Linked DNA regions of Caenorhabditis elegans. The protein of the gene in region 2 purifies or fractionates together with the protein of the main gene of each other region. This does not show direct contact. Each region holds a gene or a part of one and is shown on either strand. Other genes may lie near its edges. The genes, in order: eri-3, gtsf-1, pir-1 and drh-3.

Region 1 (6,571 bases), on a different chromosome or scaffold from region 2:
AGCGCGTTTACAGCACTTCATCGGTGGGAAATTTGAATTTTTGACTCAAAAAATTTTTTTCTGCAATGTAAGGGTGAAAAATCCGCGTTTTAATGGAATTTTGGCTAAAAAATCGCAAAAAAAACCACAAAATCCCGGATTTTTTACCAAAAACTCCAATAATTCGGCGGCTTCTGTGTTCAAGCTGGTAATTCCGAGCATTTCAGCGGCGGTTTGTGTGAAAATCGGAGTCTGGTGAGCAGCGGGCTCTTCTGAGGTTTTTGTGGGCGATGGGCGCCGTATTGTTACGGTTTTTGACATTTTAAGTGGCGAGGAGCTGAAATTTCAGATTAAAATTCATTTTCCCGTCGACCGCATGTCGCAATCGCGCCCCGATGCCAATTTATCATTGGAGCGCGATCGCACCACCAAATCGTCGGGAAATTCAAATTTTCCTCTTAAAATAGGTAAATTATGGGTGGGAAACCCGAAAAAGGCGATAAAAAATCAGAAAAATGAGAAAAAAATCGATAAAACTATTTATATTTTTTTTTTAAATTCACACGAGTTAGTTTTTCATTCAATAAACGGGGATTCTGTACAATCTTTGATAATATTCCGCCGAGTTTCCATTTTCTGCACAATTTCGACGGGATGGTCCCGTGGGACGGTTCGCCGGTACCACCACTGAAAAAAAAAATCGATTTTTGGGTGGAAAATTGGCTATTTTCTCAATGTAGCGCACTTGCAGCACGCGGTCGGCGGGAAATTTGAATTTTTTGTTGAAAAATACAATTTTCAAGCTGCAAATGCGCTCCAATCGACAAAAATCCATATTACCCCGCCGGCGAGCGGTCGATTTTCGGAATTTTCCTCGATTTTCGGGCAAAATGTGCTCATAAACGTCCATTGCACGTCGTCGTAGATTCCTGAACGGAAAAAGGGCTTAAAATTGAAAATTTGACTGAAAGTCCAAGTTTTTGGGTGGAAAAATGAAAATTTGGGCATAGCTTCCGCATCTCCGGTGGCAAATGTGCTCTACGGATAATCCAGGGCTGGAAAATACGGATTTTAATGGATTTTAAGCTTTTTAGCTTAAAAAATCATAAAAAATACTTGTTTTCGACCCCAGATTAGGCGTAAAGAACAGAAGCCACAATTTTTACTTTTTAGGGAAAAATCCGATGGTTACTGTAGCTACAGTACCCCCAAATCAGAAAAATGCTCCATTTTAGGGAAAAATAGGCAAAAAACCTTCGAAAATTCATGTTTTAACCGGCTAAAACATGCAAAAAACGCCATTTTTTCGCGAAAAATCCAATTTTTACCAATATATCTCCGTTCTGTGGGCTTCCAGCGAGTATCGGGTAGCACGAAATGCGGCTTCACACGTTGATTCAACGCAAAACCCTCCGCGTCCATAAGTGCTCCAAAGAGCTCGCGAATCTCGTCGACCGTCGGTTTTTCAACGATTTCCACACGTTTTTTCGGATTTTTCGGGAAATATTCCACAATTTTTGGAGTTTCCGCTGCTTTTTCCGGTTTGTTGAGGCCAAATGGTTCTGAAAACAGGATTTTTATACGAAAAATTCAAATTTCGCGGGGATCGCACGCTGCAAATGCGCTCCAATGCGAATTTTCGCCGATTTTCGCATTAGAGCGCATTTGCAACATCTAAACCTACCCAAAACGTTTTGAATCGATTTTTTCAGCGATTCGCTGTACTTTTTTGGAGTTTTCGGCAAAATTTCACCAAATGTCCTCCAATTTTTGTCGATTTTCTCGATTTTTATGCCCTCGGCAAGTCGATCGATAAAATACGAGTTGATAATCGATTTGGCCTCGCGTTCCGGTAATTCGCTGGAAAAAATCGATATTTTTTGGCTGAAAATTTGAATTTTTGATCTACCTGAAGCATCTGTCGAGGATGAGATGTCGGAGCTTGAATTGAGCACTTTTCGAGTTGAATTTCAGGCAATTCGTCATTTTTCTGCAAAAAAATTGCGTTTTTCCGGGTAAAAAAGCTGAAAACGAAAATTTGGGCATAGCTTCCGCATCTCCGGTGGCAAATGTGATCTACCAGTAATCGGGGATAGAAAATACGGATTTTAATAAATTTTTCTGCTAAAAATTCATTAAAACCGGTATTTTCTACCCCCAGATTAGGGTAGAAGCACAGGAGCCACAAAAAAATATTCGAAAAATGGTGCAAATGCGCTCCGATGCAAAAATCTGAAGAAATTTGCATTGGGGCGCATTTGCAGGAGAGAAATTTAAATTTCAATCAATTTTCCACACAATTTCGGCATTTTTATGAGTGTAAGTGCGCTCTAATGATAAATTTGCGGGAAATTTGAATTTTTGGGTTTTTTAACGGATTTCCTGCTCAAAAATGCCGGAATTTCAAATTTTTCGCTGAAATTTTCGAGATTTCCGTACTTTTTCTTAACCTCTCCCTTTTCCGGCTGCGGTGGCACAAATCTCAAATCATTTTTCGTAGTGGTTTCCGCTTCTTCCGGCGATTTTTCGAGCTTCTTACAATTTTGCAGAATCTCATTATTTTCCAGTACAAAGCTTCTCTGTGTGCTGGCGTGGGCGAGGTAATTCTGGAAAAAAAAAATTTTTTGCAAGTTTTTGAGTGAAAAATTCAAAATTTGGGCATAGCTTCCGCATCTCCGGTGGCAAATGTGCTCTACGAATAATCCAAGGGTAGAAAATACGGCTTTTAATGAATTTTTGGCTCAAAAATAACCAAAAATCCATTAAAATCGGTATTTTTGACCCCCAAATTAAGGTGGAAGCACATAAGCCACGAAAATTCGATTTTTTCAGTTAAAGTGCCAATTTTTAGGTAAAAATCGCGGGAAAAAACACGAAAATCTCAAATTTTTTGCGTAAAAATTGGTAAAAAATCACTAAAAAACGAACATTACACAGAGTGACGTCATAGCCATACCATTTGTATGATGACGTGGCAAATGTGGGGTCGGCAAGCACATTAATCAGTGAGCCAATGCTGACTTTTTCGAGAATATTCGAGTGGCAAGACGTCGAATCAAAGTAGATCGATTCGGAATTTTGCAGGAAATTCGCTTCCATAAAATGATTTTTCATAATTTTTGTGATGACAGCGGCGCCGGATCGGCCCGGCGAATTTCGGCACTTTTCAATGACGAAAAATGGGATTTTATCGACGTTTCCGTGGATTTCGACGCGGAATGGTACTGCCGCCAGGATAACGTCCACCATTCGATTCGTGTTCTCTCGGTGTCTCTGGAAAATTTGAATTTTTGGTGAAAATCCGCTTTTTTAGCCCAAAAATTCAAATTTCCCGCCGACCGCAAGCTGTAAATGCGCTCTATTGCAAATTTTGCATCGGAGCGCATCTGCAGCATGCGATCCGCGGGAAATTTGAAATTTCAGGTTTAAAACTGATATTTTGAACGAAAAAAGTGAATTTTGAGTAGAGATATTCTGTGTAAAGTAGTATTCTGACGGGAAATTTGAATTTTTGAGTTAAATTCTATCAATTTCAACCCAAAAATTCGAATTTCTCGCTGACCGCAAGCTGCAAATGCGCGCTAATGCAAAATTTGCATTGGAGCGCACTCGCAGCACGCGGTGGGTGGGAAATGTTTTTTTAAGTGGAGAATGCACGTTTTTCAGCCAAAATTAAATTTTTCTTCGAAGAAAATTGTTTTTAAAAAAATTTTTCAATGAAAAATCTAATTTTCGGCAATAATTTATTTAAAATTCACTTTTTCAATTAAAAATTCAAAGGCAAAACCCCGTTTTTTTCGCAATTTTCTCAATAGAGCACATTTTTTCCGTTGGAAAATTCAAATTCCCGTACATCTTTAATCTCGAATTCGGTGCGTCCAATGCTATGCGCCTTTAAGGTCTCGTAGCGAATAACAGGCGAGCAGTTCGGATGGAAAGCTACAGTAATATTTCGTTCGGTGACTCCAATTGCGACGCCAGCAGTCGACGGGGAGTTGAATGTGACGAAAACCTGCTCGCGGAGCATTGCACAACCTGAAAATTTGAATTTCTCATGATTTGTTCGGTGGAGCGAGCTTGCAGCATCCGGTCGGCGGGAAATTCAAATTTTTAGGTTATAAACTTGAATTTTCACCGAATTTTCGAATTTGCAAGTGTTTCAGGGTGAATTTTGGCGGGAAATTCGAATTTCCGGGTCAAACTTACACTTATAAACCTCCATTTTCTCGATTTGCACTATAATATGATTCCCGCGGACCACCCGTTCGAAGCTCCGGCTCCAGAAGATCTGAACGACGGATCCCACACCGATTGGGTCGAAATTTGACGGATATTGTATACACGTGGCTTTTGAGAAGATAAAATGAATGCCGGAATCCTGAAAATTGCGAGTTTTTAAATTTTTTGCAAAAAAAAAATTGGAAAATCATGGTTTTTTTTTCGATTTTTAACTGTTTTTTCGTCGTGTTTTTAAGGCAATTTTTGCGATTTTTATCAATAATTTGCATATTTTAGGACTCCAAATATCGATTTTCCCTGGAAATTCCCTTACATCAAACGCCTCCTGCGTAATAACCTCTCCGGTACCATTCGAATAGCATATTATGACACCAGACGAGCTTGAATCTGAATTTACAAGCTTTAAAATCAAATTTGGCACTAAAAACTCACAATTTGCGCCTTCAAACTGGTCTTCTTGCTCGATTAAATTGAGTTTTGACTCGGATTCGTGCGATTTCACCCGTAATGGTCGACTATTTACAAGAACGGGTTGCATACCTGAAGAAAAATCGGATTTTTAGGAATTTTTATTGATTTTAACAGAAAAAATCAGAAAAAACGGGAGAAAATGAATAAAAATAGCGAAAAAATCAGCGAAATTAATTCAAAAAATCGTGGTGGCCGAGTCTAAAGTCAAAATGGCCTAGAAAACCCCTCCTCGGCCACCATTTATTTTTTTGAAAAAAATTGTTTTTTATCGATTTTCGCCAGTTTTCCGTCGATTTTCTCCATTTTTTCTCATAAAATCTATAGAAAGTTATTTAAATTTCAGATAATTATGTCGGGAGCCTCGAAAAAAGTGAGTTTTTATCGTTTTTCAAGGATTTTTCGCAGAAAATCGATTTTTCTCTATTTCCAGGTATCAGAGGAAGAGTTGCAGAAGCAATACGCAGACTATCGAGCTCAATTCGAGCAGTGGAAGGAGAATAATAAGTGGGAAACTCGAGTTTCGGGGAAAAATTGCAAATTTGGATGATTTTCAGGGGTTCCATTGGCACGGAGGCTTATAATTCGTATGTACAGCAATTCGAGCAGTGGGAGAAAGAAGTGGAGGCGAGAACGTCACAGGTTCGTAAAAAAAACCTAAAAATTATAGAAAAATCTGGAAAAAAGACAATTTTTGACCCAAAAATGCTGAATTTACTTTAAAATGTTCAATTTTCAGCAACAAAAGCACCGAAAAGCGGCGGCAGTTGACAAGGAGGCAGAAGCGGCGGCGGCCGCCTACGCACAATCACAAGAAGCCTACATGGCACATCATTTGAGAGGAATGGAGCAGACGGAAATGCAGAAAAGAGCCGCTGCTGCAGCTCAGCTCCAGCAGCAACAAATGATGCAGAATATGATGATGCAGAGACCGCCACGTACGGTTTTTAACCGGAAAATTTGAATTTTTCGCTGAAATTTGCATTAGAGCGCATTTGGAACAGCCGAAATTCAAAATTCCGTAAAAATTTGACTTTTTCGCCGATATTTGCATTGGAGCGCCCTTGAAACACGGAGAAATTCAAAATTTTGTAAAAATTTGATTTTTCCACCAAAATTCGCATTGGAGCGCACTTGGAACATTCAATATTTCAAAATTTTATGAAAAGTTGAATTTTGAACCGAAAATCTCAGTTTTCCGCTACAATTCACACTAGAGCACATTTGCAGCACCGAAAAGTTCAATTTTTACGAAAAAATCGAATTTCCCGCTGAAATTAGCATTAGAGCGCACTTGAATCACTCGGAAATTCAAACTTTTGTTAAAATATAAACTTCCGCCTAAAATTTGCATTAGAGCGCACTTTAGACACTAGAAAATTCAAGAATTCTGTGAAAATTTAAATTATTATTTGAAATTTGCATTGGAGCGCACTTGAAACACTTGAAAATTCGAAATTTTGTGAAAATTTGAATTTTTCACCAAAATTCGCATTAGAGCGCACTTGAAACACTTGAAATTTCAAAACTTTAGAAAAATTTTGAATTTTCCGTTAAAATTTGTATTGTAGCGCATTTTAGACACTAGAAAATTCGAATTTCTCGCTAAAATTCGCATTAGAGCTGATTTGCAACACCGACAAATTCAATTTTTAGGAAAAATTCGAATTTACCGCCAAAATTCGCATTAGAGCGCACTTGAAACACTCAAAAATTCAAAATTGCCAAAAAATTCAAATTTCCCTCTAAAATTCGCATCAGAGCGCACTTGAAACACTCAAAAATTCAAATTTTTACCAGCAGAACACCAGCAACCACCGCCACAAGACGTGATGTTCGGAGCCGTAGGACGTGTAGCTCAGGGAGCTCCAGCCGCCGCACCACC
Region 2 (5,949 bases):
TTTCGGGGGGGGGGGGGGGGGGGGGGGAAAAACTATGATTTTTCGTACTTTATATCATCTCTAAACACTTCATCCATCAGCTTATCCGCCTCATCGAGCACAAAAAAGTCCACATGGGACATGTTCATTGCTCCGAGCTTGACGAGCTGTGCTATCCGACCAGGAGTTCCAATGACGATTTGTGGGCCTGAAAAATAGAGAAAAAATGCGGAATTTTCAGATAATTTGGCTTAAAAACCCACGCGTTTGCTTCAAATCGATGAGATTCAGCTTGTGAGCGGATCCTCCAACGTATACTCTGAAAAAATTGCGGTTTTTCGGTGAAAAAATCATAAAAATTCGGATTTTTGAGGTGAAAAAATATAAAAATTTGAATTTTTAGGTGAAAAATCACAAAAATTCGGGTTTTTTAGGGGAAAAAGTCATAAAAATTTCGATTTTTAGGTGAAAATATCATAAAAATTGGGATTTTCACGATTCCTGGGTCTTCTTACGAAGTTCTAGCGCCGGTCGGAGCGACTTTCCGCACAGTTTCCTTAATTTGAACAGAAATCTCTCTCGTCGGAGTCACAATGACTTTTTGGATGTGTGAAGATCGAGAATCCAGGTTTTCTACGGCTAAAACCGAGAAAACGAGCGTTTTTCCGGTTCCTGACTTGGCCTGAACAAGCATATCTGAAAAAATAGCAGTTTTTAAGGCCCAGGCCCTTATAAATAGGCTGACCTCTTCCCAGCAAGCCGACTGGGATGGCCCGGGCCTGAACTGGAGACGGCCTGTCGAATTGGCTATTTTTCAGACGTTCCAGCGTCTTTTGTCCGATCATCAGCGACTCGAACGTGCAATTCGATTGGACATCGATCGAGCTGCCGCGGTCTAATACCTCGATTACCTCGGAGAACTCCATTGGCTCTGAAAATTAAAAATTGCTGTATTTTTCTGTACTTTTACAGATTTTAATGGCTTTTTCGGGATTTTTACCGAGTAAATTGGAAAAATCAATAATTTTCTTGGTTTTTAACGCGAAAAAATCAGTTGAAACTCGATTTTTTGGACGGAAAATTCATTAAAAAAACCGCTGAAAAATATCTAATTTCGCAAATTTCGCAACGGGGCGCGGTTCTATGGGCGGAGTTTAGCGAACGCAATAGCGCCGCACACTTTTTTGTTGTTTTTTTGTCATTGTTTTTTGCGGGAAATCTTTGGTTTTTTATTGATTTAATGACTCTTAGCACATTTTTTGTTTAAAAAAATGAAATTAAAAGTTAATTTAATGGATTTTGAAACGAAAAATGCCATTAAAACTCTGATTTTCCTCAAAAATTGCATTTTTCAGCTTAAAAATGGAAATCGACGATTGCGTCATCGATATGATCCAAGTTTTCTCGAAAATCAATAGAGAAGTTCCGGAAAAAGCGAAAAAAGCAATTGTCGAGATTGAACGGCTCGATATTCTTGCGAAGAAGGAGATGGAAGTTGCTAAAAAGCACAAAATCGAATTTTTTGCGAATTATGAGGAAATGACGGCCGAACAAAAGACCAAAGCGTTCACTTTTATGCAGGTTTAGCTCCTAATTTAACAATTTTCAGAAGAAAATGGCGAAAGTTTGAAAATTGCGGTTTATAGGTGAAAAAATCATGAAAATCGCGGTTTTTAGATGAAAAAATTATAAAAATTTGGATTTTTAGGTGAAAATATCATAAAAATCGCGATTTTTAGGCGAAAAATCGAAATTTTTTTGATTTTTTCACCTAAAAAACCCAATTTTTATAATTTTTTTCACCTAAAAATCCAAATTTTTATGATTTTTCACCTAAAAATCGCAATGTTTGTGATTTTTTCACCTAAAAATCGCAATTTTTATTATTTTTTCATCTAAAAATTCCAATTTTTATAATTTTTCAGCTAGAAATCACAATTTTTGTGATTTTTTCACCTAAAAATACAAATTTTTATGATTTTTTCACTTAAAAATCGCAATTTTTGTGATTTTTTTATCTAAAAATCCAAATTTTTATGATTTTCTCACCTAAAAAACCCAATTTTTATGCTTTTTCCCCTAAAAATTCCAGTTTTTATAATTTTTCAGCTAGAAATCACAATTTTCATGATTTTTTCACCTAAAAATCGCAATTTTTGTGATTTTTCACCTATAAATCCAAATTTTTATGATTTTTTCACCTAAAAAATGCGAATTTATCAATTTTCAGAAGAAAATGGCGAAAGTTTCCGAATATTCCGACCAAAAAATAGAGATTGCGAGCGGTTTGAAGGTTCTTCTGAAGGATGTCTACGGGAAATTCATGGAAGAAGAGCAAAAGTTCATTGAAAACCTGAATAAGATTCCAAAAGCACCGGAAACTCCGCCAAGCAGTTCTCCGTCAGTGCGAAGTCATCGTAAGAAGAAGCTTTCCGAGGGAGATGATGATGCTCCGTCGTCGGTGGATGAGAAGAAGCGCGGTCGGAAGAAAAAGCCAGAATCCGAGAAAGCAGTGGCCGCCGCCGAGCCACCGAAAATGTACTGCTGGTGTCAACTGGTAAGGGCTCCGTGAGCTTCCGCCGCCGCTTAATATCGCCAAATTGGGATAATTTCAGGATAAAAACGACACAATGATCGAATGCGAGAATCCGGGCTGCAAGTACGGATGGTTCCACTTCACATGCATCGGAATGATCACTGCTCCAGCCGGCGACTGGTATTGCACCAATGAGTGCCGTGCACAGGGTCTCGCGGCGGTTGCAGAGGCTCCGCAGAAGGCTCCACAACGAAAGGGATTGAAGAAGAAGAAGTGAATAATTGGTTTTTTTTCTTTGATTTGCCGCTTGTGTACCTATTTTATTTGAAAAAAAATCATCCGATGATCACAAAATTGTATTGGTTTGATCTCCCATTTTGCTTTATTATTCTATGATAAACTGAAACTTGTTTGCATATAAATTTCTGTTTAAAAAATTATTTTTTCTGACTCTCACAACGGTTCTGATGAATTTTATTCAGATTTTGAACTGAAAATTAACGATTTATTGATTAAACTTGGATTTTTGTTGGGTTTTTCCTTTAAAATTGCTGGATTTTCAATTTTTTCGGTGAAATCGCTGAAATAAATACATTTTTTCGAGCCGCTCCGCACGCCGATGCGTCGCGGTCAAGGCTTTTTTCCATGCCCACTCCTTGCAAAACCCCGTGCGGCACAATTGCGTGTAGATTTACGAAGCCCCGCCCAAGAATTTTTCCTCGATTTCATCCAATTTTTTTGGCGATTTTATCCAATTTTTCATCGAATTTATTGATTTTTCGAAATTTTAGATGGCGTCGGGAGAATCGGAGGCCCCTGGGACTTCAAAAAATGATCGATTTTCGATAACATGCCCTTACAATTCGGATCACAAGGTTGGAATTGATATATTTTTAATTTAAAATTAAAAATTTTATATTTCAGGTGTCAATGGAGGAGTTCAACACGCACTTGTGGAAGTGTCGCACGGAAAAATTGCATTTTTACCCGCATTCGTTGAAATTGAAGAGGTTTTTTTTTTGCTCAATTAATTTTCCAATTTTTCTATAATAATTATCATTATTTTTTTTAGATGCTCCTACAACATGCGTCACTTCCTTCCCGAAGAAGAGCTCCAATTCCACGAGATCTTCTGCAAACGTCAATCCGCCGATCTTCGACGCCAATTGTCACTGGAGCCGCTGGAGCTGAACGTGGCGGAGCACCTGGCGGCACAGAAGCTTCGGAAAGAGTACGAGAAGGACGAGGAGTCGCTAGATGGATCAGATGACTCGGATGAAGACGAGGAGGAGAAGAATCTGTCGGTGACGTCGGAAATCGAGAAATCGGATGTGGAAGAGGTGGAGATGATGCTCGAGACGATCAATCGGCTTGCTTACTTGGAAATGAAGAATGATAATTTAATTTTGTGATTTTATTTTTAAAAAAGTGGAACAAGTAAAATGAGAGAAGCATTTTTTTTTCAATTTTTGTGCTAAAACTATGGTACCGGGTCTCGAAACGAATTTTGAAAAAGCCACCAAAAAACCACGGATTTCTGGCTTCCCTCATAAATTGAAATGGAAGAGTTTGCCGAACTAGGCCATTTTGGCTCGGCAATATCTGGGGTAGATTTACGGCGCGTTGCGTGTCGCGTCGCGGCTCGGTTTTAGTGTCCATGTGGAGTACACGACTTTCCCACGCGTTGTCCGACAGGCGATTGTCAATGGAGCGCGAAAAATTCAATGAGAGGAAGGCCAGAACCCCGTGAAAAACTGGAAAAAGCCGATAAAAATTGAATTTTTTGGCGCGAAAATCGGAAAAGCACCCGGGAGGCGTCGGGACATCATCTATAACTATAACTTTTAACTTTTCTATAACGTAAATTCTATAGAAAAGTTAAACTTTAAAAAAAGTCAGAAACCCATGAAAATTATAAACAATCCCCACGTGGTCGCTGGCTGTCCTTTTTGCATAATTTTGAAGCAAACGCGCCTCATTCAGAATTCACGTTGGCGCCAACTCTCGCTATCCATTGGGCGTGAGAGACGCAGATACTACTTTTTTCTCTGGACGTGAAAAACGCAAAGAATAACCGTTTTGTCGTCTGCGTCTCTTCTTTCACACGCTATTTTGGCTGTGGACGAGGAATTCTCCTCTTCCAGGATTTTCTAGGCCATTTTCTCACATTTCTCAAGTTTTCTCGTCCGCGAGAAAACGTGAATCCCGAGTTCTAGGCGAAGAACAACCTTTTCTGATTGAGCCGTTCCGCTGGCAGCTGCGTCGCGGTCATGGCCGCGGCCCAGGTTCCCAGCTCTCTTGCCAAAGCTCTGGGATCCTGGAAGCCCGTGGCCTAAAAAAAAGCCCCTACACAGTTCAAAAACAGCTGAAAAGTAAGAATTCGCGTGAACCCTGACCCCTCTTCGCAAAAATTCCTTTATAAAATCACTGATTTCTCAAAATTCCAATCATTTTCTCCCAAATATCGCTTCGTGATGACTCGTGACTATTTTTCCAATGGTTCATCCTACTCTTCTTCTTCTACAAAAGGCGACCCAACAATCATCATAATCGTCGTTCTCGCCTGCATTTGCTGTTGCATATTGTCCTCGGCTGGAATCGGTGCAGGGATCTACTTTTTCATGAGGAGCCGGAATAAGAACAATCAATACTCGAATAATGGAATGCGGAACCCGCAACCTGTCGGTCAACCGATCGGAGCACAAACTACAACTGAAGGAGCACAGATGACCACCGGTGTACAACCAATGATTGTTTGAAAAGAGATGTGTGCAGAGAAGAAATAGTCAAAAATCGATTCTTTCCCATTTGAATAAAGTGTTTTTTGCCTAATTCACAGGGTTCTGGTCTTCCTCATTGAATTTTTCGCGCTCCATTGACAATCGCCTGGCGGTTAACTCGTGGGGGAAAGTGTCGTGTACTCCACACGGACAAATACATTTAGTTTTACAACTAAAACCGAGCCGCGACGCGACACGCAACGCACCGTAAATCTGTCTAATTATGTTACAAGACCGCAAGTCACGCCTAGAAAATGGTTAGCCAATAATATCATCGGCGCTTTAGTTAGTAGATCACATTTTGTCAGGAGAAAGGGATACACACAGCCACAAATTGGCTGGAAATTTTATTCCGGGCCTTTAGGGTCTACTTTATAGTAGAGAAAAATGTACAAAAATAGGCTAATTTTTGCTTCAATCCCCGCACACAAAATTAGCTCTGTGTAAAATGACCCGTTTTTTTGAAAAACGTCACATTTTCCTGCAGCTCCTATCAGCTCTGTGAATCGACACGCGGGTTTTGCTACATGGCCTAGAAAAAACGAAAACTCGGCCAGCGTCCAATTTTTCTGAACCTTTCAGACTTTACATTTGTGTGATCTCCAAAAATTCCGGTAATTTACCGCAGAGCACAGGCTTCCTTAAAGTTTTTTA
Region 3 (6,623 bases), on a different chromosome or scaffold from region 2:
GTATCTTGATTCAGTCGGGAAAAATGAAGAAGAAGAGCATCAAGAGCATTTGATACTGTTTGTTGGAGACATTCAATTGCTAGCTGTGGAGCATAAAGTTCTAGTTCTGCTTGTTGGAGCACAGAGCAGAGGATCATTTCCTTGGCGTAATCGGAGATATCTGAAATAGAAAAAATATTATTTTCCAACTGTAGGTATCAACCATTGCTGTAGATTTTTTGTTATTCGTGTTTTTGGCGGAATTTTTTCTTCTAGATTTTTCAGTATTCATAAATTTTTATTTTTTTTACAAAAAAAAGACAACATTCAAAATTATTAATTCTATAAAATATCTTTTTTTAATCTCGTAGCGAAAACTACAGTAATTCATTCATTTTTTTGGACTACTGTAGCGCTTGTGTCGATTTACAAAAACCTTTTTTCATCGATAAAATTTTGAATGAAAACACAAAAACTATTTTGGAAAAACGAAAAACTTAAGAAAATTTGAGAATAGCTGTAACTTTTCGAAAATAAATTAATTTTAAAAATTGAGCCCGTAAATCGACTCAAGTGCTACAGTAGTCATTTGAAGAATTACTGTAGTTTTCGCTACGAGATATTTTGCGCGTCAACTATGTTGCTCAATACGAATTTTCAGAATTTTGTGTAAATAATACATAAAAAGAGTTCCATTACAGCCAAAATATTTAAAAAAAATTTAAAAATAATGTTTCAAACTAAAAAAAAACTTTGTTCACTTTTTTGTTGTATTTTCTAACTTTTTTGTTTTAAATTTCGAAAAAATAATCTGATTCAGCTCTGGTATCATCTGAAATCGTTGAACATACCATCATCATCTGGTAAGTACTCATAAGTTGCTGAAGCAATAAGAGGTTCAAATGCACTGCTCATCATCGCAATGCAATCATTGATCATTTTAGTTCGGAATGCGGAAAGTTTTGCTCGAGATTTCTGAAAATAAAAAAAAATTGTGAAGCATAAATTTTTCATTCTCACTTCTTGAATTTGATCAACATGTTTAACTCCACATTCTTGCATCTTTTTGCCAACATTATTCAGCGTTTTTGCAATGATAAATTCGATATCTCCAACGGCAATTAAAAGTTTTTTCGTCGTTATTTCATTATTTCCTTTCTTTTGTCCAGGTTCTTGAGCCAATTGTTGAGGTCTTTGTCGAATGAATAACCGATCGAAACATATTTTTATAGAAGTGATGAGATGTACGAATAGATCAATAATTGTGTCACGGAAACGTTCTCGAGAGAAAAGGCAAGCTTCTCCAGGATATCCAGAAATGGAAAGAGCATCACGAGTACGCGTAAGGCATTCGCAAATCTGCAATAATAGATAGATCTTAATAACTTCCGTTAAATGGAAAATAACCTCATTTTCATAATAATCAGGAAGAATTGTCTTTGTTTGTTGTGCTCTGTCAAGAATATCTTGCTTCCAGTTGATTCGGTGAGCAAGAAGAGCAACTCCTGAAATTTAAATATTTTATAAAATAATATTTATCATCTTTATTGTATAAAAGTTATACTCACTTTCCACTCCACAATCTACGAAATCGGAGAGCAACTTCAATCTGGCAGTCATACACAGTTCAACTAACGGTTGAACATGAGTAAGACTGAATTGATTTTCAAGCAGTGAAGAAATCAAAGATCTTGTAGTTTTTAGACTGAGTTGAAGATTTGAACGACTAATATCAGCAGGAACTGTGGGCCACTTTGCAAATTGATCTCCGTACTGCTTCAAGACCATATCAGGAAGAGCTTTGGGAACCAGGGCGTTCAGAATCAGCCACGATGAGACGTTTATGATGTTGGTCAGCATTTGCTGAAATTATTAAAATGTTTCAAAACTCTGCTTACAATACACTAACATTAATATCCTCCAATCGTTGAATGGCATCAGGAGAAGCCGTTGAGTTATGATATGTGTTGGCAAGTTTCCAAAATGAGGGAAGTTTGCTCAATAATAATTCAACCAGCGTTGTCACAAAGTTCTGTAGCTCATTGGTTTTCGTAATCAGGTGATTCTGCGAATTGATTCTCTGCTGATTTTCAAGATCCTCTAATTTAGCTTTTTCCAAAAATTGCGTCTGCATATCCCAGAGACTTTTCTCAAGCCAGACGTAATAAGAGGTTATACAATCCCAAGTAGGGTCTGATTCTGGATCCAGAATTTTTAGATATTTGATAAGTTTACTTTGTTCTTCATATGAGACTGGAGTATCGATAAGCTTTCGTTTCATTTCTTCCTTGAATACTTGCATTTTCTCATCGATCTCAGTCATCACTGTAAATCGATCAAATCATTTTTTTTATTTTTCAAAATTGAAAAATTAAATACGTACATTCTCTAAACAACGGAACATCTGTGTCTGCATACAACGATTTTGCTCTTGTATAATCATTGAGAATTGTAATATATTCACCCTTTTTCATACTGTCCTCAATTTTCGAAGAAAGGAAAAAGATGAACTTGAATCTGACAATGACTCCGAGAGCATTTCTAGTTGCGTCTGCATCATCTTTTCGTTTTAAGACATCGGCAAACACATTTTCTGCTTTCGATTTGGAGTCTTTGATCTGAAATTTAATTTTAATTAAGTTTATTTCATTTTTTTCATCAGCTATATACCAGTTTAGAAATGTTTTTTAAAGCGGCAAAATGATCAGCATTTTCTCCTTTTTCTAACGCTTGATGAAGATTTGCCAAAGTATCCACACAATTAATCAATGAATACAAGTTTGCTTTGTGCATTTCTTCACTTCTTTTCGCTTCATTTTGCTTTGATAATTCCATATTTTTAATAGCAATTCGTAGATCTTCGATTCTGAAATCCAAAAATTAATTAAAATTATTAAACAACTTTCTTACGTGGCGTCTGCATGATTCTCTAGAAGATACCATTGTGGAGAGAAATTTTCCATTCTTAAATTGCCAGAACAATCAGGAAAATCTCTTGAGAGAAGAACTTGATCCATTCGTTTCTGACTTGGAAGTAATCCAAGTGCATCTCTTTCATCTTGAATTTGTGGAACACTTCGAATTGCTTCTCTTCCTGGAACTGTTCTCGTTTCATCTACCCAGACTGCGGATTCTTCAAGTGGTCCGATTTGAGTAATGAAGACACGAAATTTGACATTCGAAGAGCCTTTTCCACCGGATTTTGTCGCTATTCGTACTTCACCGGGACCACGTGATGCTGCACCAACTCGGGCAATAATTTTTGATGGGGATTTCCATCTGAAAATTGAGCTTCGAGATGTAAATTAAAAGAATTCGAATACTCACTTCATACTCCACAAACTGTCGATTCCACATATAAAAAGCATAATCACATCACTCTGATCATTTCCCAAGTTTTCTCCTCTTATTGTTATTTGAGTTCCAGGGACTCCTGAAAAATTATGTTTATTTAAGACCGAAATCATATTTTCTAAATTCACCTTCAGTGGGCGATAGCCCTGTTACCGTAGGAGGTAGTCTTTCCCGAGCTTGAGCGTTTTCTTCCATTTACGCTTAAAAATTATTCAATTATAATCTGATTAACAACGTTAAAGTATCATAAAATTAAAATATTTTAAAATAAATTAAAAATAAATACATGAGCCACAGATTGTCCGAGTGGAGTACACACTGATTCAATAAACAAGGCGCTAAGCGGAATGCCGGAGCCTCGTTGCACAGCAATCGTTAATTTTTTAAATTTGAGCCACTCAATCTTAATCTCAATATTTTCAGTCAGTGTCATGTCTAATTACCATCATAATCACAATTATCAGCATCGCCCACGCGGATATGAAAGGCTTCCAGGAAAGAGACTCCCAGACAGGTTTTTTTACAGTTAATTCCATAATTAGTCCCAATAGTTCTTAATTGGAAATAAATCTCTTGAGAAAGTTTTTGATAATAATTGAAAAGGGTTTCTCTGTGTGTCAAATTTTTTAAAACTAAAAAAATTTAAAGTTTCATCACATACCTTTAAACTTGTTCTTTCAAAGTTTAAATATTATCGATTTTCTCTTCAGATGGAATATTTACGATAACGTCGGCCGTGATATCGATGGGACTCGATTTGTTCCATTCAAAACACCACTAGATTCATCATTCTTCGATGGGAAAAATATGCCTGTGGAGCTTCAATTTGGTGTAAAAACATTGATTTCTCTGGCACAACAGGCTAATAAACAAATTGGATTGGTTATCGATCTCACAAATACGGATAGATATTATAAAAAGACGGAATGGGCAGATCACGGAGTCAAGTATTTGTGAGTTGGAATTTTTTAACATTTAATTTAGAAAAATCGAAAGTTTATAGGAAACTCAATTGCCCCGGTCACGAGGTGAACGAACGAGAAGATCTTGTGCAAGACTTCATTAATGCTGTTAAGGAATTTGTGAACGATAAAGAAAACGGTAGATAATTTTTTTTGAACAAAATTAAAATTTTTTTATTCGATTACATTTGCAGATGGAAAACTGATTGGCGTACACTGCACTCATGGGCTCAACAGAACAGGATACCTTATTTGCCGGTATATGATTGACGTGGATAATTATAGTGCATCCGATGCGATTTCTAGTAAGTTTTGGATCCAATAACACATGTTTTATATAATTATTTTTCAGTGTTTGAATACTACCGTGGACATCCAATGGAGCGGGAACACTACAAAAAATCATTGTACGAAGCTGAAAGGAAGAAAAAATACGGAAAAAGCAGCGGAAAAAGCAGCGGAAACTCAGCCGATTCCACAATTTCGAGTGAACAGTTGCATCGAAATAATTCTCAATAACACCCAATACTGTTGTTTGTTCTTCTAATATTACTTGTCATTTAACTGTTACGTTCTGTAAATCCGAACAAAAATCGGGTAAACTTGTTATTATTTATTAATAGATTTCTTTCTGAGTACAACACATGGAAAATAATCACAGTTTTTTTTTGAATCACAACTTTTTCGCAGGAAATTACAATAAATTAGGGCGGAAAAGAGTCAACTTTTGGTCAAATCACAGAAATTGCGAACGTGAAGATGAATGGATGGATGTGGAGAGACGGTTGGAGTGAGAGAGAGAGACAGGTTTGGAAGTGATGAGACGCAGTAAATTATGCGACAAAAAATGAGGGCTCTAGGGCAAGAAATAACAGAATACTATGATGGGAGTGAACGGGAATTCAACGAGAAAAATTTAGGAAAACATGATTAAATGATAATTAATTATTCCGATAGCTTTACTCGATCTATTCCATCAAAATCGGTTGAAGTGGGAAGTTTTGTGGATGGTGAGAATAAGCAGCGAAGTTCGGAGCAGATAACTGAGAAATTTGTGATAATGGGCTCGTTTGAGGCGGTGGAGCACCACGATTGCGGAGCGTCAAAATGGCTTCTCCCGGACACAAATGAGTTGGCCAACGTGTGAATAGGACCTGGAATTGGTTTTTGTTTTAGCTTTATAAGAAACTTATGAGTAACTTACATTATCAACAGTATGTTCCGGTGTTGTGAAATTAGCCACCAGCTCAGGAACTCCGATGCTCATATGGATACCATAGATAATCAATTGGGTAACCTGCCCTGGCACAATTGGTGAAATTGGTGGAGATGGGTAACTTGACCAGAACTGTTGTGGTTGTGGTGCCTGTGGTGGCAGCTGCCCCATGAAACCCAATGGAGCCGGTGGTGGAACCTGATGTTGTTGACCAACCAGATGATGAAGGTTAAGCTCCTCAGCAGATGCTTGGAATACTTCGATGTATCTCTTCTTTTTGCCAACAGACATAAAGTTATTGTGAACTCCAGCAGCGCAGGCAGAAGCCGCTTGCTCATTGATCATTTGAATGAATGCTTCACCTGATGGATGACCTTGATTGTTGTATACCATATGAACACCTTGGAACTTTACCATTGTTGCAAAGTCACCAAGGAATGTGACGATATGTTGCACCTGGAAGAGCATTAACTTGTGTACTAGAAAATAAGTTTTATAAAAATTTCTCTGAACATATGTTCATTTAAAACCTGTCAGGTAGGTTTTTTCAGCGCAGAAAACAAAAAAAGTTTGGAAGAAAGAGTTGTCGCTGATCCCTGCCTACAATATGACTTCGCGCCTTCTGCCAAGTTACTATGAATGATACACTTAGAAATGCGAAAGTCTATACTATTGAGCACCAACGTTTAAACTTAAAAATGCAGAAAACAGGCAACAGTCAGGCAGGCAGGAAGGCGTACCTGCCTACTAGACTCACCTAAAAGTAGTGAACCTCTTTTTCTTACTTTTTGAGCTTATATCTCGGTCATGTTGGAGATATAGAAATCTTGATATTTTGATATTTTAATCTTTAGTTTTTTATCAAACAACTCCATACTCATATATGATAAAAGACCGTAAATTCCTAACTAACGCCCCACATTTCTCATCCCCCCACCTCTGCTCAACATTTGAATATTTGTCATCGGAACATATTCATCAGTAAGTACTTAAATACTCTTTTGTATTCTCACCTGTTGTAACTCACGGAGCTACAGCTTCATCATCATCAATCTATTTGACGGGGGCGGTTTATTTGCCTAAACTGCCTAAATTTACCATGAAACAATATC
Region 4 (10,648 bases), on a different chromosome or scaffold from region 2:
TACTACATGAGAGAACACAAAGTTTTTCCAAAAGATTTAAATTTACAAGACACTCTTGATCTCTATTTTCAAATTTGTTCTATTGAAACAAACTGTGATTCATTGGCTGTGATGGCTGCAACATTGGCAAATGGAGGTGTCAATCCGATGAATGGAGAACGAATTGTGAATAATCGGTTGGTTTGATACAATTCCTGATATTATTTCGTATCCATGAAAACATTAGGTAGGTAGGCATAAAGTTAGGCAGGTTTAAGGAAGGTACAAATGCCTGTAGGTACACGGTAGACATGAGGTCTGCATTTTTTGCGTTTGAGACCATCTTCCCTTCTAGGCACAGCCGTGGCAGATTAGGCCTGCCTTGTAGGTAAGCAGGCGATTTTGTGCCTGCTTGAAAGATCTAGTTTCTACTTTAACTTATTGATAAATTTACAAGTATTGAAACTTTAGTTTATTGCTGGAAGATCTACTTTTTTGTTTCATTAAACTATCATGTTCTTCAGTGCTTGCCGTGATACTCTCTCATTGATGTACTCTTGTGGAATGTACGATTGGTCGGGGCAGTTCGCTTTCCACGTAGGTCTTCCAGCCAAATCAGGAGTATCTGGAGATATGATTATTGTGATTCCGAATGTGATGGGTATTGCCTTGTACAGTCCACGACTTGATAAACTTGGAAACACGGTTCGAGGTGTCAAGTTTGCAGAACAGCTCGTACAAAAGTATAACTTCCATAATTATGATAGTCTGGTAAGTTATCTCAAAATAGAAAATTCTAAAGTTAATTTATTTGAGTTTTCTTTCGAAATATCTTATGGTGGGGGCGCAGAGAGAATCTCCTTTAGAAATCGACCTGGAAACGCGCTCCATGGCAAAATGAAAATGCTCCGCCCCCGAACCATGGGTCTCGTTAGGTATTTGGCGGCAAAACCGTATGCAACATTTATTTAGTTTTGCCGATTTTGTCAAATTTTTTAATTTGTTGTAGAATTTTTATTTTTTTATTCCGCCAAATTCCTAACGAGACCCATTGCTCGGGGGCGGAATGTTTTCAATTGTCCGTGGATCGCCTTTCCACGTAGATTACCAAACGAACTTTTCTCTGCATCCCGAATAATATATTTGGTTAAAAATTAGCATTTTCTACTTAAACCATAATAATCCCAATTCAGATCTACTCGGATAATAAGAAAATCGATCCTCGTCGTCAATTGAAAGATGATCATGACGGTCAGAATCGTTTCATGTATGCTACAAAATTGGGTGATATTGCTGCAATTAAACGATTCCTTTTGATGGGACATGATATTCATTGCAAAGATTATGATGATCGAACAGTTTTACACGTGGCTGCTGCTGAAGGAGACGTTGTCACATTGGAATACGTATTGAGTAAATGGCAAGAGGATCCGAATCCATGTGATAGATATGATAGAACTCCATTGGATGATGCTAAACATTTTAATCATACTGCTTGTGTTAAGCTGCTAGAAGAGGCAATTACGGTTTACAATCTTAAAGGACAAGATGATTAGGAATAGATGTTCTAGAAATTGATTTAAATTAATAAATCATTCCATTTTTTGTCATTTGTTAATTTACAGTCAAATTGTTGGAAGAAAAATTGAAAGATCAATTAAAAAAATAAAACTAAATAGAGCTTTATATTATTCAAGAGATCGAATGAAAATTGCTCGGTAAATAGAACACGATGAATGATATTAAAATAACAAAAAAGATTAAGAAAAATTGAATTCTCGTACAAGTTGGAAATCCTTGAGATGATCATTGAGCTTCTGGTGCAACTCCCTTCGTTGGTGGTTCTTGTTGAATATGGCTGAAAATGAAAGCATTATTATGATAATAGAGAGTTTATCCGTATTTTTTGAGCTTCGAAAGTGTTAAACAGAAAAGGAATCACAATCCAGAGCACACTTACAATCTCTTCATCTCGAGTTGCTTATTGTGTTGTCGTGAGTCCAAATCAAGAACAATCTTCTTTTCGATATTTTCTTCAGTATCGGAGAGCGCATTCAACATGATTCTCTGTAAATTCGTACAATTTTTAAATAATCAAGTGACCAAAATCTTACAAAGTCATCCTCGATTGCTTCTGAAATATAAAACAGATCCTGTTCCACATCCGACCATTTTGCTTTTGTCATCGAGGAATAGTCTGATTCTTGAACAAATGTCAACGCCTTGACACTGAGTTGCGGCAAATAGGTTCCTCTGTAGAAATGTTGTTTTATAAGAAACGACTTTTAAATAAATTAAATTTCAATTACCTTATTTTGTAAGCTCTTCCAACATCCAACTTGCAATGGAAGCATTTGATATCACTGAGTGGTTGATTGTCCTCACTCAAGTACTTACTCACCTTTCGCTTCTGAAAAAATTCAATTTTTCACAATCACAAATTGCGTTTCTATGATAAACAGAAGTCGGCTTAGCTGAAAAAAACATTTACTTGAAACATCTGGAAATTGCACAAAAATAGCCTGAAAGTCAATTGTCGGAAAGCAAAGTTCGGAAATTCAGCAATTTGATAATCGGCAATTCGACACTTCCAGGTAATTTTTAAGCACTTTATAAATGTTTCAACCTGAATAAGTTAATTTCAGATGAATAAAGCGATTTTTTTACTTTAAAACGATTTTTTAGTGACAGAAATTTTTTTAATTGTCTTTTTTTTTGAGAAATTTTAGGTTTCGGTTTTTTGGGAAAATGGTTTTACAGCCCTGGTCTACGAGTATAATCTTACAAAATTCATTAAAATTATATTTTCGACAAGCCGGCTCCGGTTTTTGAGCATTCATCAAACGTACCGATTCAACATGCAAAAATCTCCATACACTTGGATCGAACACCATGTAATTCGAGAACACTTTTTTGATATAAATACTCTTGCAGAACTCTTTTGAACAATTGCTGCACATCAATTTATAAATCTTATTCTCATGTCGTAATCTCAAATTGAGTTGCTCTTCCAGATTTCGTTTCCTTTCAGCCGCATTTAGTTCAGCGACTCGTTTCACTTCTGCAGCCAATTGTTTCTCGCCATTCTCTGTGATCTTCTTCACACAAAGTCTCATATACTTTTCAGAGATTAACGCGTTAGTCTCGGTTTCATTGATACTACTCTTCACTGATAAAAGCACAGAACGAGAGTTTTTGGCACGTGCACGACCTCTTTGTTGAACAAGTTGAATGGCTGATCCTGATGAACAGTTGTACTTGATAATAAGATTACATGCAGTAACATCGAGACCTTCTTCAACAACTGACGTTGCCACAATTACTTTAAGTCTTCCATTGTTGAATTTATCAAGTGTCAATTGTTGTTCTTGTGAAGTCTGCTGTACAGCGCCCTGTTTGTTTGTTCCGAGAACATATCCAACCATTTGTTCACCATAATTACCAAATTGATCTAAAACTTTAGATTCGTTCAAGAAATCACTGACACGTTGAGCGGTGCTTCTTTGTGTTACGAAAATAATAACTCGAGATTCAGGAGCCACGTGGAACTGATTGGTGAGTGTATTCTTGAGACGTAGAACAATTTCTGGTTCAACGGATTGAATTGTTTGTTTCAAAGTATCATGGTCTTTGATGAAGGTGCTGTATTCGACTGTCTCTGAATGACTTTCATTCAATTTCCCAATAGCTTTTTCCATGTATTTGAATGCAACCATCGCAGGCATCAGATCAACGATTCCGCGAGCTTCGAGATATACCTAAATCATTTCATTTACAAGAATCTTTGAAAATGAATCAAACCTTCATGTATTTCGCCCAAGTTTGAGAATTCCATTTCTCAGGAACATTCAATTTGTTCAACTCTTGAATAATACCTTGAAGTAATGAATCGTAGTACTCATAATTCTTCGGTTGATTCTTTTTAAACGTGTTAATCATATTCGGTGGGATAGTGTTGTTGCGGCCAGTTGATTTAGACATGCTTGCTAATTCTTCGAGAAATTTGCCATGGGCGTGGTTAAGGTATCGTTCGATGTAATCTCGAAGGATATTTTCTTTGGCAGGCAAGCATAGTTCGACAGCTGAGAAGAATTTTTTTGAAATAATTCTCTCATGAAATTTCATATTCCGAAGAGAAAACAAGTAATTGGTTATTTTTGGAATAGAGTAAATGAGGAATTTACTTTGAAATTGCCGGATTAGCTTGAAGTTAAACAATACCATGAGAAATAAGGGAAAACAAAGGAAATTTCAATACCGTGGTTTTGATTCTAAAGTGGGTTTTCAGCTTCCGAAGGTTTTTTTTTTCAATTCCTGTTTACAACACTTCATTTAGAAACCATTTTTCATTTTACAAGAACAATTTACAATTTTCAAATTTTTTTGAACTGTGTAAACTTGAAAATAAATATTTTTATAATTTGATACACCTAGAAATTTATCTTATTTGTATTTTAAAATTTATTTATGGTTTTTAAGAAAAAAAAAACTAAATTTCCAACTTGAGAACAAACTTACAATCATCTGGTTTTCCAACATGCTCATTGAGCTCATCTATGCTCGATTGGCGAGTGATTGTACTCAAATGTGGAGCGTTGATCAATGCGAGCATATTATAAATATCATTAAGCATCTGATTCTCGTCTTTTTGTCCATCAACTTTGACACTCAATGAAGCTGTCAGACCAATGATTTGTGGTTTTTCATACTTCCATTCTTGAACCATTTGATTAATCAACACATATGGATGATTTTTTGCAGCTTTATGTACTTCATCGAAGATCATCATTGAGAAATCACTCACATACAAACGCTCATTTTGACGTACCGATTGAAGCATGTTGCTGAAATAATTAGTTCGGGTATTATAAAAACCAGAGCTCGATCCGAAAAAATTAAACATTTTATATATCTTGATTAAAATTGCACTCTTTTTATAATTTATAATTTTTTTTGAAAAAAAAAAGTAAAATAAAAAATTAATGAGTTATATCAGAAATTTTCGATTCAGAATTTAATGAACCTGATTCCATTAACTCACATCAGAATTTGAGGAGTCATAACTGATACATGAGTAGCAATTACTTCATCACGACGTCCTGTTCCACTGACACTGCTCTCGGATCCATGAAAACCATTAACTTCGTACATTCCGTTACAATACTTCAGGAATCTGTCTTTTTGTTGACCGACAAGCGGGATTTTCGGCACAAGGAGCACAACCTGGAAAATAAAATTTTATTGCTTCTATATCAAGGGGAAATAATATTAGAACTTGACGAGAAAATTAAAAAAAAAACATACTCTGGAAGGCTTTCCTTGGGATGTTCGTTCTTCAATATGTTTGAGAGCCGCATAAATTGCCACTTCTGTTTTACCAGAACCAGTCGGAGCAACAATAACACAATTCTTTCCTTCGAGAGCCGGTTGGACAAGTTCTTCTTGATAAGTACGCAATACAAGTTCAGTAACCACCGCATCTGGATCTGGAAAAAGGAAAATTTGCACTAAATGTTGGAAATATAATCTTACTGTAGCCGCTGTCTTTCGGTTGTGGACGTATTGTCGTGCAAACATCCTCGCCGACAGCTTCCTCGTTAGTCCGCTGACTTTTCAGTAGGGTAAGGCGGATACGGTCACGTTCTTTCTCTCGTTCTTCTGAAAATTGATTTAGTTAAGCCTAGATTGTAAATCGAAATTCGTAAAATACATCAAATAGCATGAGATGGCCGAATAATAAAAAGTTAGGCATTATTTAAAATTGTATTAAAATAATTTCAGTATTTTGAAATCTGAAGTACAAAATGTTTGCCGCTATTTAATTTCCAAACAAAAAAAAACTTACCAAGCTCTTCTGGCCAGTTCTTATCCAAAAAGTAGAGAGCCGCTCGATTAGCTGGATCATTCTTCATTGCATCAATAAATCCGTAATACCACTCTTCGTGTTCATTTTTCTCTTTTTTGTCATTCGATTTGAATCCGATGATTGCGAGAAACATGGTGAGAGTCTTATGAAGACTCCATTTCTTCACAGCATATTTTTTCTCTTCTCCATTCTCGATTTTCAGCTCGAACGCTGGTCCTTCGGTTAGCAAATCTTCGACCAAATCAGTTGATAGTTGATGATTACCTTTGTTAAATACTTCAAAAGCGAGAATTGTAGTTTCACTAACACAACGTGGATTCGATTTCAGATGCTTCATAATAATCATTCCACGTGCAGCTCCAGCCACTCTATCAAGCTTCTGATATCCAAATGGATTATTGGTAACTTCCTCTTCATCGTAGAATTTATTTTTGAAAGTCTCAGCAGTTAACCAGCCATCAGGAAGATCTTCCCAGTGTGAGTATCCATAAAGTTCTTTATCGTCTGAATTTTACAGTTCAAAACGTTTGAAATTTCACGATTACTTACAGTTAAACATCACTTCGTCAGCAATTCTGAGTCCCTTCTCATCGAACAAAACAGTGTTCAAAAAACATTCCGAGAATCTTCTCTGAAATAAAAATTATTTTATTAAATGTTTTTCAAAAGTGTTTTTACCCTTTGAACTTTCTGCTGATGTGCGTGACGCAATGTAACGTATGTTTCTGCCTGTTTTCTGATTTTAACGTCGAGACTGAAAAATTGGTATTTAAAAAAAATATGGCACGAAAATTCCAGACACCATAATACTTTTTTTTGACCTTTTAAGCTTCTGTGACTCGAAAACTCACGATATTTAAACTTTTTATAAAAATTTAAGTCATTAAAACAATTTTATGTTTTCAAAACTCCGTTTCGACATCCTTGCCGTCACAGATATAGATAACACCGAAGAAATTGTTTTCGTTGGAACGTTTTTCTAATACATGATTTCTCTGTCGTCTTACTCGGCATTTCTGATTTTAATCATGTCCGGGTCATGAGAAACTGGAGTTGGCTCGTCAATGATCATTCTGGCAATTTCTTCCAATTTTCCTGGCGGGAACAGCGATTCAAATAGTTTGAAATATCCGATATCGTTGTTTCGTGTACTCTCCACGCATACATCAAGGAATTTCCATCTAAAATAATATTTAATTATTTGATCGAGTGCAAGGGGGGAAATGTATAATTTTCTTACTTGAGAAGACGAAAATACGCTGGAAAATATGGAGACTCAAACGGAAGGCGAAGCTTCGATTTGTCGTAATCTTCTAAACGTATTGCAGTTGGTTGCATTATCGAAAATATCTGTAGGAAATTATTAAATTAAATTTTGCCGACAAAACGACAAAAAGACATGTTGTTCAAACTGGCGCACAAAATATAAACAAGTGTGGCAGAGGTTTTCACATTAATGATTTTCTCTTCCTCTTGCCAATGATAAAAAGTTAAGAGGGAAATACATGAATGAACAGAAAACCATTATTAGTGTTAAAGAAGGGCAAGTAGTGTCAGGAAGGGAAGTTTTGGTTTCAGTATTCAATATTTAACGATGAGCAACGGCGGAATCAATAAAATTAGTATTTAAATTCTACAACATAAATAAATGTTTTGGCTCTTCAACCTTGTGAGAAAATAAAATCATAATATTTAAAACAAGAATAAAACTTTCATTAAAACTGCAAATTCACGGGAACCGGTGATGGAAATACGAGCAGCTGCCAACAGAAAATGAAGAAAAGAAAAGGAAATTTGAAAGATAGAACAGAAAATAAAATTCTTTCGGCAGGTTGTTGGGATGAATTTCAGCTGATGAATGGCAAATTAATACGAATAACTGGATGAAAAGAAAACATCGAAAATAACATTTTACAACGTTAAAACGAATCGTTGATGCACTTTTAAGCGTCTGGCTTTAGAAGTTCAGCGGAGTTCCTGGCAGCTTCAGCAGCACGGTCGGCGCGTTCTGAAAGAAAATAAGAGAAATGCTTTTTTTCGATATTTAATAAATTATCCATATGAAAAATTGTTAAATTCTTTCTTTACTCAAAAATCGAGTTTTAAGCGGTTTTTTGTAGGATTAATTTTCTAGCCATGAATAAAATACCTTTTTTCACAAAACGCTGCCTTTCGATCTCAATGCGCCATTCGAGAGGAAGTCGAAACCATTCTTCCACAGGATGTTGAGCAGTGAATGCTTCATCGGAGAGAGGATCATCTGGATCCACGTCCACATAGATACTTTTCGACGTCTCTTTCATATTGTCCAATGTAGAGTTTGAACAACTTAGTGATGGATTTTTAGAAATATTTTTATTTTCTGAAATTGCGAAGGTTGTTAAACTTGTCAACTTTTCTTGTAAAACGAACTTTTAGAGGCTAAGTATTTTTGGAGGAACTCTTTTGGCAACCGTTGGAAAATGTAATTCGGGTAGAACTTGGCGAAATTTCCTGTGTTCTCGTACTCCTTCAAGCACTCCTCTACGGTCATTGTTGGCTGAGAATAATGCTGAGAATGATTCTTTCGGGACCCACTTGATTTATTTTTTTTGTTGCCCATCTGGAAGATGAATATCAGCATAAAATAGGACACGGGTAGGGCTGCAAAACCTCGGTAAAGTTAACGTGTTAAACAATAAAAAGTAATACTAATATGAAAAGTGTCATAACATGTAGTGCATATTTCTGGTTAAAACCAATATTGGATAACAATAAAAACCTATAGAACAAAACTTTAAAGCGTTTATTAGAAAACACGAACAACGATACTATAGCTCTATAGAGAAAATTTTAAAGGGAAATGAAATAATCTTAACAAAAAAAAAAAGAAAAAAAGTTCGTCACTTGAGCATTTTCAAAATTTTTGAATAAAACTGTTGAACTCATCACGATGATGAATGCATTTGTGATATGTTACAAGTATTGCACGAAGATTACATCTGGAAAATAAACTCAGTTATTGGAATTATTTAACGGCATTTCTAAAAAAATAAATTACCTTGTTCGAGTAGCCGTGTTTTTCGCGTAGCCGATAAATTTCATTGATTACTGGCTCATTCAAAAGAGCCCACTTATCGTCCGGGTAGAAGCCGTACAAACAGTTCTTGCCACATTGTGCTAAGGGTTTCAGTGGGATTTTCTCGTTATCGCATGATACTCCGTCAATTGACTCGTCCTCTTCTTTCCGTTCAACTTTCACATTGTCGGGGTCTTCAGCCTCCACCGGCTCATCGTTGATCACAGAATCGGAACAATTACCAGCAGTTTCTGAATCCATATGATCTTTCGAAGTTTTTACACAGTCTCCGGTTGATTCTTCTTTCAACACTTCTTCAGAGATTACAGAGCTGGCAACGACCTGTGAAGCTTTCTCCTGGTCTTCATTATTTGCATCATCTGTGCTAGTCGCATTTTCTTGAACGATATCCGGTTCAGCAGCCACTGCATCTACTGCGATCACTCCTTCTTTTGCATCGGAAGACGCTTTTGTGGTTACTTCTTCCGATTCTTCACACTTTTCCGCGTCTCCAGGAAGTACTTCTGGGCTCTTCTCAGGTACCTTGCTATCTTCTTTTGACTGCTTTGTGTCTTCCTTCAGCTCTTCCTTATCAATTTTTTTGTGTGATGTCAAAAATTTGATCTTAATTGTGAAATGTCTGAGGAGATTCTGAAATTTCGAATGAGGTTTTTTCTATAAAGTCATATTCGATCCCAAACCTTCTTCCAATTCTCATCTATCGGCATCTCGGCGGCGTACTTTTTCATTGCTTCATAGAGCTGTGTACGAACTACTTCTTGTGGAATGTGATCTGAATACAAATAAAAAACTCACTAATAAAGAAAAATCAAGATTCACCTGAAACCGTTTTCTCGATGACATCGAGATTACAGTAGTTTGGCCACGCGGTTGGAAGTTTTGCCAAGTGCAAATAGCTTGTCACATCGGATGGATCTTTTTTCTCCTCGTTCCAAATGTCTGCAGATGACCATGGCAACTGAGCGATTGTGGTCGAGAATTTGAGAATATCGAAACGATGAGAAAGGAAAAAGATGGAAAACCAATGATGGCCCATATTCTGAAAATCGGCAATTGTTCTCATGTTTTTTTAAAATTAATATTAAACATACCGCCCATTTATCAACAATTTTCTTCTCGTCAATCACAATACCGTTTTCCTTTCTGAGAGTTTCCACGAGATTCAGAAAGTAATCTGAAATGAAAATTTTGAATTGAATTTTAAGTTTTGATTGCTAACCAATAAATTGATACAATTTCTCGGAATATGTGGAGTCTGGAATGTTATACTTGGAAAGAACGAGAACAATGAGATCTTCAAAAAACTCGTTTGGCAATTTCATCCTTTTCATTTGTGGGCGAGCAAGAAATTTGAGCACATCAACAGCCATCGTCTGATACTTTTTAGCGTCCACACATCTCATGGCAAATCGCAAAGTTGGTTCCAGTGAAATGATGTGTTCGCCCGTATTCGAAGTGACTGCAAATTAGATAAGAGTTCAAAGAGAACGCAGACAGAGATATAAGTTTTGATAATCTTTTTAGAAGAATTAATTTATGTAATTGGCAAAAATTTTTAAAATGAACAAACCTGAAAGAAATGCGGCCAATCTATCCATGATTCCATCTCTCTGTCCAAATCTAATAGTTGAAACAACTTGGAAGTACATGCTCTCTGGGTTATCCTTTCCAGAATCGGCGCTAGATGCATCTTCAACATCTGAAACAACTGGCAATGGGCCCGC

What was found.
Region 1: the proteins of gtsf-1 (region 2) and eri-3 purify together in Caenorhabditis elegans (affinity purification with mass spectrometry, with the first as the bait; one study listed by BioGRID). This does not show direct contact.
Region 3: the proteins of gtsf-1 (region 2) and pir-1 purify together in Caenorhabditis elegans (affinity purification with mass spectrometry, with the first as the bait; one study listed by BioGRID). This does not show direct contact.
Region 4: the proteins of gtsf-1 (region 2) and drh-3 purify together in Caenorhabditis elegans (affinity purification with mass spectrometry, with the first as the bait; one study listed by BioGRID). This does not show direct contact.

What each region holds. Positions count from the first base shown.
Region 1 is NC_003280.10:1,121,721-1,128,291, reverse strand, and holds eri-3 (Reverse transcriptase domain-containing protein), read right to left. Parts: upstream 4,759-6,571; 5' UTR 4,757-4,758; coding exon 4,651-4,756; intron 4,606-4,650; coding exon 4,532-4,605; intron 4,358-4,531; coding exon 4,186-4,357; intron 4,015-4,185; coding exon 3,833-4,014; intron 3,253-3,832; coding exon 2,908-3,252; intron 2,586-2,907; coding exon 2,419-2,585; intron 1,970-2,418; coding exon 1,889-1,969; intron 1,840-1,888; coding exon 1,664-1,839; intron 1,542-1,663; coding exon 1,308-1,541; intron 909-1,307; coding exon 820-908; intron 667-819; coding exon 556-666; 3' UTR 501-555; downstream 1-500. Other genes in the region: taf-6.1 (Transcription initiation factor TFIID subunit 6), read right to left, coding at 148-300; sut-1 (SUppressor of Tau pathology), read left to right, coding at 5,039-5,059, 5,120-5,193, 5,244-5,328, 5,426-5,624, 6,487-6,571.
Region 2 is NC_003282.8:16,862,534-16,868,482, forward strand, and holds gtsf-1 (CHHC U11-48K-type domain-containing protein), read left to right. Parts: upstream 1-3,306; coding exon 3,307-3,390; intron 3,391-3,439; coding exon 3,440-3,525; intron 3,526-3,587; coding exon 3,588-3,927; 3' UTR 3,928-3,971; downstream 3,972-5,949. Other genes in the region: mel-46 (ATP-dependent RNA helicase), read right to left, coding at 49-187, 243-298, 495-675, 725-905; ING family member lsy-13, read left to right, coding at 1,342-1,560, 2,210-2,536, 2,595-2,792; T06A10.107 (uncharacterized protein), read left to right, coding at 4,990-5,274.
Region 3 is NC_003280.10:9,173,620-9,180,242, forward strand, and holds pir-1 (RNA/RNP complex-1-interacting phosphatase homolog), read left to right. Parts: upstream 1-3,718; 5' UTR 3,719-3,764; coding exon 3,765-3,847; intron 3,848-4,043; coding exon 4,044-4,286; intron 4,287-4,329; exon of another isoform or gene 4,330-4,336; coding exon 4,337-4,434; intron 4,435-4,489; coding exon 4,490-4,600; intron 4,601-4,647; coding exon 4,648-4,814; 3' UTR 4,815-5,014; downstream 5,015-6,623. Other genes in the region: sec-5 (Exocyst complex component 2), read right to left, coding at 1-160, 831-954, 1,000-1,338, 1,387-1,484, 1,548-1,842, 1,889-2,304, 2,363-2,597, 2,650-2,845 and 3 more; RNA-binding protein sym-2, read right to left, coding at 5,264-5,449, 5,500-5,967. UniProt on the Caenorhabditis elegans protein: RNA polyphosphatase which has RNA 5'-triphosphatase and diphosphatase activities. Displays poor protein-tyrosine phosphatase activity. Binds to 5'-triphosphorylated RNAs (also called ppp-RNAs).
Region 4 is NC_003279.8:7,817,378-7,828,025, reverse strand, and holds drh-3 (Helicase ATP-binding domain-containing protein), read right to left. Parts: upstream 7,196-10,648; 5' UTR 7,184-7,195; coding exon 7,086-7,183; intron 7,027-7,085; coding exon 6,853-7,026; intron 6,600-6,852; coding exon 6,524-6,599; intron 6,477-6,523; coding exon 6,395-6,476; intron 6,350-6,394; coding exon 5,825-6,349; intron 5,638-5,824; coding exon 5,512-5,637; intron 5,466-5,511; coding exon 5,284-5,465; intron 5,203-5,283; coding exon 5,021-5,202; intron 4,824-5,020; coding exon 4,498-4,823; intron 4,062-4,497; coding exon 3,781-4,061; intron 3,738-3,780; coding exon 2,829-3,737; intron 2,390-2,828; coding exon 2,289-2,389; intron 2,233-2,288; coding exon 2,094-2,232; intron 2,047-2,093; coding exon 1,940-2,046; intron 1,838-1,939; coding exon 1,786-1,837; 3' UTR 1,648-1,785; downstream 1-1,647. Other genes in the region: glna-3 (Putative glutaminase 3), read left to right, coding at 1-176, 504-750, 1,173-1,535; D2005.7 (NAM-associated domain-containing protein), read right to left, coding at 7,789-7,853, 7,995-8,207, 8,258-8,447; D2005.4 (TPR_REGION domain-containing protein), read right to left, coding at 8,821-8,826, 8,886-9,554, 9,605-9,696, 9,744-9,963, 10,016-10,098, 10,144-10,383, 10,495-10,648.